Nothobranchius furzeri: one gene and its partner. The protein of the gene in region 2 interacts with the protein of the main gene of each other region in a biochemical or structural test. Links are inferred from orthologs where the notes say so. Each region holds a gene or a part of one and is shown on either strand. Other genes may lie near its edges. The genes, in order: ube2t and uba6.

Region 1 (4,559 bases), on a different chromosome or scaffold from region 2:
AATAATCACAGTGAAGATAAAGCTCTAAATTATTTTCAGATTCTCAGTTGTGTCACAACATTTAGTTCTGTGCTCTCATTGTGCAGATGAATTCTATTTTAAAGACACACAGATGAATTGTTACATTGAAATGTTTTAGTCGCAATTAGACATTTTTCTGTTAAAGTTCTGAAAAAGTTGGGAATATGTGTCAAGTTAATATTCACATTTCTAGGCAATAATTAGAATAGTTATTTTCTCTAAAACACACTAAAAATGATTAAAACTATACATTCATAGACTAATAATGTTGTTTAAAGAAGTAAGAATCTTTTTAATGTAGTTGATAAAATGTGGGAAACTCCTTTACTTTGTTATTATTATTTTTTTAAGTAATTTAGAACAGACGACACTAAATCATTCATGTTCTGTACCACTCATGTTCACTCGATCCAGCAAATTTATAAGAGGTGAGACCCAAGACAGATACCAATCTAAGAGGCTGAACTCTCAAGTGAGTTTTCTCTTCACACACAAAACCCGAGAGTCGTTTAGTTGTCGCCACTGGAGAACGACAATTCATCTGAGTTTGAAGTCCTGTATATCAAGCTGGGTTTAGCTCTTTTACTCCACAGAATTATCATATTTCAAACTAAATAAATACAGTTTAATTGTTTTCTTATTCAGCTAAATAGTATATAAAGACTGTTAGGTCGAGTTTTCTTGTCGCAAACACGCTAAAACGTTTTATTTTGAAAAAACTCAGGAAGTGTTTCTACCAAACCTAAAAAAAGAATTAGTATATCTTCTCCTCATTTGTTCTCCTAAATTTTATTATTCATAAGAAAACAAAAGAAAAAGAAAGATTATGACTTTTTAAATCAGCTTTATTGAAATATAAAACCTAAATGATCTCTTCTAAATGGTTTAACAGAACTATGGTGTAGTTTCGCCCTAACTCCACTAGATGGCGGTAGTTCCCCTCGCCGTTCACGGATTTGTAAATCTCTCTTCTTCTGCCGAATGTTATTACTCCCAAGAGAACAAAAAATAGGATTTTTCAGCTTTATTGAGATAAGAAAAAAACATGCAAAATCCACACAGAAAGGCCAGAGAAAACATTTGATTCAAATATCCATTTGATGCAGAAGAATAGTCAAAAATAGTATATTACAGAAAGACTGGAAGAGAATTAGAGAAAAATTTCTAAAAAAATTAATGTTGGAAGAGGTAAGATGCACAGTTAGAAACATGCGTGAATATTTTGATACTCAAACAGGATACACTGTTTTGTTTAAACTTCAGCAAACAACCAGAAATATTTCAACAGAAGAAGAATAAATATTTTTATTTTCTTGCGGAATATTTGAAGCAATATTAAATAAAAAAATAGACAATCTTGAGAAAAATAAAGAAAAAGAAAAACACTTGTAATATTCTATTAGTATCAGTTGGTGGAGGTAATGCACCAATCTGTGATTTCAAGCTACACGAAGAAGAAGCAGCGCGAGGCGGCGGCGCGTCGAGAGGGAAATCCAAAAACAACTCCGCCAACAAGTAAATCTTGTGAGAAGTTTAACCGCTCAGAGCAGAGGAGGACATCAGCTGGGAAACGTGAGTGAATAAGAGAAAACATCGATGCTTGTTTGTAACAATGAGCCTGCTAACCCTAACCCGAGCTAGTTTAACCAAATTCTTACCAGAAAGCACGATTATCTCAGCGTTTATCTTCACATACCCTCCTTATTTTATGTATTTATTTATGTTCCGCCTCTAAAAGAATGCAAAGGGCTTCCCGTTTGAAGCGTGAACTTCAGATGTTGAGCACCGATCCTCCTCCCGGGATCACATGCTGGCAGACCGAGGAACGGATCGACGACCTCCGGGCACGTAAGTCCCACCAAGTCCCTGAATCTGAAACCACTATCATACAATCTTAGTAGAACAGAACCCATGCAGTAGCTCCATTTTTACTATCAGAGGCTTCTATGTCTTTATAAACAACAGCCATCAACGTTTTGGGGATAAATCTAGACTTTTGTCCATAATTAACAAACATGATCTGACTGCAGTGTGTGTTTTTGGTGTTCTTCAATACTTCGAAATGAGTAAAGTGTCTAAAACTTTAATATCCATCCTTAGTAATAATGGTTATTAACTTTTCTTATTATTTACTTGGATGTTGCTGTTCAAAAACTGTTTTTTTCTCTTCCTTGCAGAGATAGTAGGAGGAACAGGTACTCCTTATGAAGGTGGAGTCTTCTCCCTTGAGGTCAAGATACCAGAGAGGTTTATATTTTATTTGCATTGATGAAACTTCTGCAGTTTTTTTTTACTAGACACAGTAACTTGCCAAGTGTTTACCATTCTTTTCACACAGATATCCATTTGAGCCTCCAAAAATGCGATTCTTGACCCCAATCTACCACCCAAACATCGACACCTCGGGGCGTATCTGTCATGATGCTCTCAAACTACCACCAAAGGTTGTGAGAATAAAATAAACTTTTGATGTGCTTTATTCTAATTTTTTTCTTGCTTTGTACCACCTGATTGTTTGTGTATATGAGCGCACACACACACACACACACACACACCACACACACACACACACACACACACACACACACACCACACACACACACCACACACACACACACACGCACACACACTCACTCGTGTGTGTATGATCACTTTGTTTTCTGTGTTTTTTTCAGGGTGCCTGGAAGCCGTCTCTGAACATCTCCACTGTTCTTACCTCGATTCAGTTGCTCATGGCTGAGCCCAATCCAGATGACCCACTGATGGCAGATATCGTAGGTCATCTTCTTTTAGAAACGTGATCTCATGCTTCCTATTGGTTAGTTTTTATAAACATATTGGTTCCTGTGAGTTAACATCAATGAGGAGTTTAATGAGAACCTGTTTTTAAGATATTTAATTTGAAAGTTTCTGTGAAATCTGGTTTATTTTAACATTGAAACTGTATCTGTGAGCATGTCCAATCAAATGGATAGTTACAGTGCATGTTTCTGACTTTCAATTTTCTGTTTCAAATTCAGTCTTCAGAGTTCAAATACAACAAACACGTGTTTGTGGAGAAGGCCAGGAGGTGGACACAGGAACATGCAGTTCAGAAGAACACTGTAAGCTCTTATTCTCTCATTCACACCGTGGTTCTGCCAAACAGCCACTCCATTACATCTCATCTTCTAGCCCGTTTGGTTCTGTGAAGACCTCTGGGGCAAACTCAGAGGTGGATCAACTTCAACCATCTATTCTGTCACCGTTGTTTCACACCTGACACAGATGCAGGAAGGCGTAGGGCTACTGGAAAATATTTAGTGATTTTCCTGATTTATTAAAATGGTTGATTTCATTGTTCACTCAATCTGTACAATTTTGGTTAGATTTTTTTTATCCTTAATGGTGTAATCATGTGCGTTGGCTTACTTGAACCACTAAGGGGTGCTAATTTCAAAAGAAAACCTCATCTTTTAACATTGAAAAGCACAAGTTGTACATGTAAAGGGAAGGTTTTGAGCCACCATAGTTCATGTGTGCTTTGCTTCACTCATTTTTGTGCAGACACACTAAGTTGGTCAAAGTGTAATGGAGTTTACTAAAAGTGCAGAAACTGGTTCCCAAAAAGGGTCTTCCTATGACCGAAATGAAAAATTAGTCAAACTCCAAAGCAGATGTTGATCGATCTTATTTTTTCTATTGCTGATGTCGATAGATAAAGGTCATGGTCAGCCGACGGCCGGTGTCGGTACAGGATCTGCTCGGGTGCAAGATCGGCTCGGGGTCCTTCGACTGCCGATGACGTCAAAGTACGGCAAACCCACTCGGACAAAATACACTACACATCTATACTGTTGGAAAGAATTTAGCAGTTTTGTTATTAAAATAATGTTTCTTAAGACATAAGTTTGTGTTTATAATGGTATTTGTAAAATAAAACACTATATTTTATTCATAATGTTGAACTCCTCTTTGAGCACATCCCTTGAAGAATCATAGGTATTAGCAACACCTGTGAAATTGTATTTGCAGGAAAGAAGTGTGTCCCGTTTATTGAAGTATTTTGTTTTTAGAGTTTTTGACGTCTTGTCCATGAGTAGTTCAGTTACACTCATAGCTGCTAGCCAAAACTCTGGAGTTAAAAGTTTTCTGGCTTTACTAAAATACCTGTCTGTACTTATTTGATTGATGATATTTTTACTTTCTATTAGACTCCAAATGTAATCATTTGGCACGTTTCTAATTCATAATTTGTAATAACGTAATCGGCGATATTAGCATTAGCATTCCTATGGGTTTTTCCATGTATATCAGCATTGCGCTAACCACTCGCTGCCAAATTGCAGCCTTTGAGATTAGAAAATCTCCTTTTGTCACATCGCAATTTAATTGCACATGCAGTTAATCTTTCAGCCCTAATATACATACAGCTCTATGCTAAAAGTGTATTTTCAAAGAGGTAATGACGGATTTCTTTGTAAAAGTTGTCCATCTTTCCAATAGAAAGATTTGCCTGGACGAACGTAACGTGATAACAACGTAACGTGATTAAGTAA
Region 2 (4,255 bases):
ATTACGCAAGCTTGTGATTGGTCAGGACGCCGCTGTTGTTTACAGCGCCGCCATTGCAAAGAGAGCCGAGGATAACTAGCGGCAGACACGGAGAAGCTTGAAGAATACCTCGCGAAAAAAACTCTAAAAACAAGAACGTTTAATTCTCCCGTGACTGGAGGAGTGAAAAGATGCGCAGCAAGCGTTTTATTTGTGGACGGAAATGACAGGAAACGTGGGTTTAGAGGTGGGGAGCGCATGAAGCGGTGGGAGAATGAGAGACAAATATGTCCGTGTTAAAAGTCTCTTATATACACAAAAAACACAATATAGACACTCTATCTTGGACCGGTACATGACAGGATACCACAGAACAGCGCTACGCCCTCTGGTGTCCTGCTGGGGAATTGCTTTGCAACACTCTCCAGGAGACGGAGAATTATGAGAGCAAAACGCTTCCATCAGTCCGTGCGTGTCTGTCCCTTGCGGAGCTGACGGAGAAGCATAAACCAGGCTTTAGACGGTCTCTCAGTCTAAATAAATCAAGTCTTCAATAAATGGACTTTTACTCCATATTCTAATTTTTTGAGTTTCTGCATGCAAGCCAGTGGGAATATACTACTATTTAAATTATCACCTGAAGAGCACCAACTTACTTGATACTTCCTGAGAAAACTGAGATCCGTGTTGTCATCCAGGGGTACGGAAGATGCGTCGACTTGGACGTAAGGATTCAACTCAGCTACTCGAGGGCATACCGCCTCCACCCTTTGAGAGCAGGGGAAGAACCAGGTCAACAAACACGAGAAGAGCCTACGAGGAGGGGCGGCCTGACACTGAAGTCTTGCTTTATAACATGAGTAGATTCGTTGGCTATGTTGTTATTGATCACATGACTAATGATCTGTTTCTAGATAAACAGGCTGATTGAAATACAGAATTAAACAGACATTAAGGCAAAACAAGCTTTTCATTTAGGCACCACGCGCTAATGGGTCTGATTTAGTCTAAGAATAGCACCAAGGCTAGCTATAGGAATCACACTGAAGCACGTTTTCTGGACATTCAAACCCTCATGTCTCATTTGCATAACAGCTAGCTAACAATTGATCATCCCACAAACACTAGCAGCTGTATCATCTTTCATAAAATGTTTTAAGACAAAAAATGAGCAAACTGTATCATCCTTAGCAACATGCACCACCCAGAAATCATCTAATCATAGATAAAGCAGACGATGCTGATTCTGATTACCGGGCAGCTCCTTGGTACGTCTCTTTTAATTAGGACTGCTCTTATGTGTATGTTTGTATTTATGTTTTAAGTGTCTGACTTCTCCTAAGCTTTGTTATAATATATCTTTAAGTGGTAATGTTGTATTTTTTCAGATGAAATATAAAACATAGAAAAACCATGACTGCTCATGCTCTAGTTAGGACTGGCTTTAGAAAAGGCTAGTGAAGCGTTGGGCTAAAAATGACATTTGATTGAAGTTAGCTGCTGGCAACACACTCCTCCAAACAAACTTTGACTCATACAAGTGTCATTCTGGTTGGTGTATGCACACGAGGACTGTGCAGATTATGTATAGTTTCTGTGTTCTGATAAATGTACAAAGAATCTGTGCAGTCCAATCGTGTAGCACACTGTACCTCCTCCTCTGGCTCGATACATCATCTCTGCGAATAAAGAAGTTGGAGCCAAGATCCCAGGTCTCACACAGCTTTGTGTCATGAAGCGTTACTGACTGTACAACACACACACACACACACACACACACACACACACACACACACACACACACACACACACACACACACACACACACACACACACACACACACACACACACACACACACACACACACACACACACACACACACACACATGCAGTAAGCACACAAACAAATCAAATTGAATTGGCGATGTTTGAAAATCACACAACCTAAAGATTGTGCCTACCTTTACACCTGCCAAGGCAATATTCTTTGCTAAACAAAAAAAAAAAGAGTGTAAACATCAAACTTGTTTATAAAGACCAATGCCAGAGTGCTGCTGGGCTAAAAGCTGCAGTCTTGCTCACCTATTTCCACTCCCATTGCTCCCATTCCACTGAGAAAGACTGAGGACTGGGCCATCTGGTGCATAGCACGGTCTCCGAGCACATATCGCTGGCGACTGGAGGGAGAGATGAAGAAGAAAGAGCGTGAGAAGATGAGTTAGATCAGGGAGAGAGGTGGTTGGTGATCATGTCTTAAGTTTCGAGTTATTTAGGTGAATCGCTGGCTAACTTGCCTGTAGAGAGAGTCGTCAATCTCCATCAAATCAGAAGCCATGGTGGGAGGGGAAATGGGGTTCAGCCGTTTCACAGATAGCGACTTCACCTATTAAACACCAATTATAACCGCAGATTATAAAACGCTGTTAGAGTTTATACCGTAAACCAACGCCCTGCTGTAACTTAGCAAGGTGGCTAAGTGTAACTGTCACCCAAGAGGGAAACAGAGCTTGACAACAACCGCTTCTAACACTCAAAGTTTAACTATAACAACGTGACTTACAAAGTACTACTATTTAGAAAGCTTGCTGATAAAAGCTCAAAGCTAGCTGCTTTAGCTAACTAGCAGCGAGTGTCACTCCTGCCGGCAGGGATGCTTTTTTTCGGTACAACACCGGTGGCGAGGACTTCTACATACACTCAATGGCACCCGCGTTAGACCATACATCACCAAAATATTAATCATTTGTTCAAGACAATTGAGCTTATTGGAAATATGAATAAGAAAATGTTTAAATGTTGTTAAAATAAGGCGGAATATCTTACGCGAATATCTGACAGTGAGCACGACGAAATACAGCAAATGAATGGCTGTGACTGGTTAAAAACTTGGAGTACTTCCGGGTTATCACAATCACGTGACCAAAATCCTCCAATAGGGCATTTTTTCATGATGAAAGTCGAAAGAAATTTTTTCATATTTTGTCAGATGTTTACCAAATAACGGAGGCTATTGAGTTATCAATATTTCAGATTACACTTTTGTGAGTTTCAAACAACACACACGCACACGCACACACACACGCGCGCGCGATTCAAAAGCTCAGCACTACAAACGTTTCAGATCATAGTCCTTTGGCGGCCATGGACGTAATTTTCACTTTAGAAGTGGGGGGGACACGGAGTGGGGTGGGGTGTGTGTGTGTGAATCTTTACAGTATGCTCTAATGGGAAACAGGCTTCAACACAAACAATTGTTTTCCGCTTGGTCCTAGAGCTCAACCAGTGTCAATTTAATATAGCGTAATATTGTTTTTGGATGGTAAAAAAAGCAGGGGTCAAAACTTGACTTTGGAAAAAGTGGGGGGGACATGTCCCCCCTGTCCCCCCCCCAAATTACGTCCATGCGGCCACAGGACTTAGGAATTTAGTTCTAATACATTTATTATTAATAGATAATATAAAACAAACATATTTATTTATAAAGTGTTACCAGAAGACGTTTTTAGTTTCTAATCAAACATGTCAAATATAAAACTATAAGTTAGGCCAATAAATACCCTACTGCATCTAATAAACACAATCAGACATTCATAGACATTTATTTATTTCAAGGTCCACATTTTGTTTTAAACAGGAAAGCCATTTATGTATTTGGATTTCACAAAGAATGTATAAAACTACTCAAATTAATAAAATGAGAACCAAATACAATCAAAAAACAATTTGGTAAAATTAATCGAAGCTCCTGAAAGACAAAGTGTGTGTGTGTGTGTGTGTGTGTGTGTGTGTGTGTGTGTGTGTGTGTGTGTGTGTGTGTGTGTGTGTGTGTGTGTGTGTGTGTGTGTGTGTGTGCGTGCGTGTGTGTGCTTGTGTTTGTGTACTTGTATGTACTACCTACTGAGGACCTTTTTCACTTCTTTCCCTACAATGTGAGGACATTTTTCAAAGTGAGGACCTCACTTTTTTAAAACAGCTTACCAGTTGTTTTAGTCATACGGTGTGAATTACGTTTTTGTTACAGTTAGTGTTAGGGAGATGTCTGGGAAATGAAATACAACTTGGAAAGCTGGAGAGGAATTTCTCAACCAGTTTAAACTGAAAGAAAACAACCAGAACATTTTTCGGTTTTCTACTTTTTAAAGGAGCAAAGGTCAACTTGTGAGTAAAACATTTACCTGTGTTTGACTCTAGTTTTGGGGCTGACGTAGAATAAAGAAAACCACATTTGTGCTTTTTAATCAAACAGCTTGAAGATTAATTTATCGTGGATTATT

What was found.
Region 1: the proteins of uba6 (region 2) and ube2t form a complex in vitro, tested with the Homo sapiens proteins (2 studies listed by BioGRID, with this or other methods). The link is inferred for Nothobranchius furzeri from reciprocal best matches to the Homo sapiens genes UBA6 and UBE2T.

The regions. Positions count from the first base shown.
Region 1 is NC_091755.1:24,718,789-24,723,347, forward strand, and holds the start of ube2t (ubiquitin-conjugating enzyme E2 T), read left to right. Parts: upstream 1-1,465; 5' UTR 1,466-1,593; intron 1,594-1,759; 5' UTR 1,760-1,760; coding exon 1,761-1,869; intron 1,870-2,198; coding exon 2,199-2,268; intron 2,269-2,359; coding exon 2,360-2,465; intron 2,466-2,696; coding exon 2,697-2,795; intron 2,796-3,041; coding exon 3,042-3,125; intron 3,126-4,559. UniProt on the Homo sapiens protein: Accepts ubiquitin from the E1 complex and catalyzes its covalent attachment to other proteins. Catalyzes monoubiquitination. Involved in mitomycin-C (MMC)-induced DNA repair.
Region 2 is NC_091747.1:78,729,847-78,734,101, reverse strand, and holds the start of uba6 (ubiquitin-like modifier-activating enzyme 6), read right to left. Parts: upstream 2,946-4,255; 5' UTR 2,931-2,945; coding exon 2,805-2,930; intron 2,614-2,804; exon of another isoform or gene 2,542-2,613; intron 2,365-2,541; coding exon 2,276-2,364; intron 2,159-2,275; coding exon 2,064-2,158; intron 1,972-2,063; coding exon 1,943-1,971; intron 1,727-1,942; coding exon 1,632-1,726; intron 748-1,631; coding exon 636-747; intron 1-635. UniProt on the Homo sapiens protein: Activates ubiquitin by first adenylating its C-terminal glycine residue with ATP, and thereafter linking this residue to the side chain of a cysteine residue in E1, yielding a ubiquitin-E1 thioester and free AMP.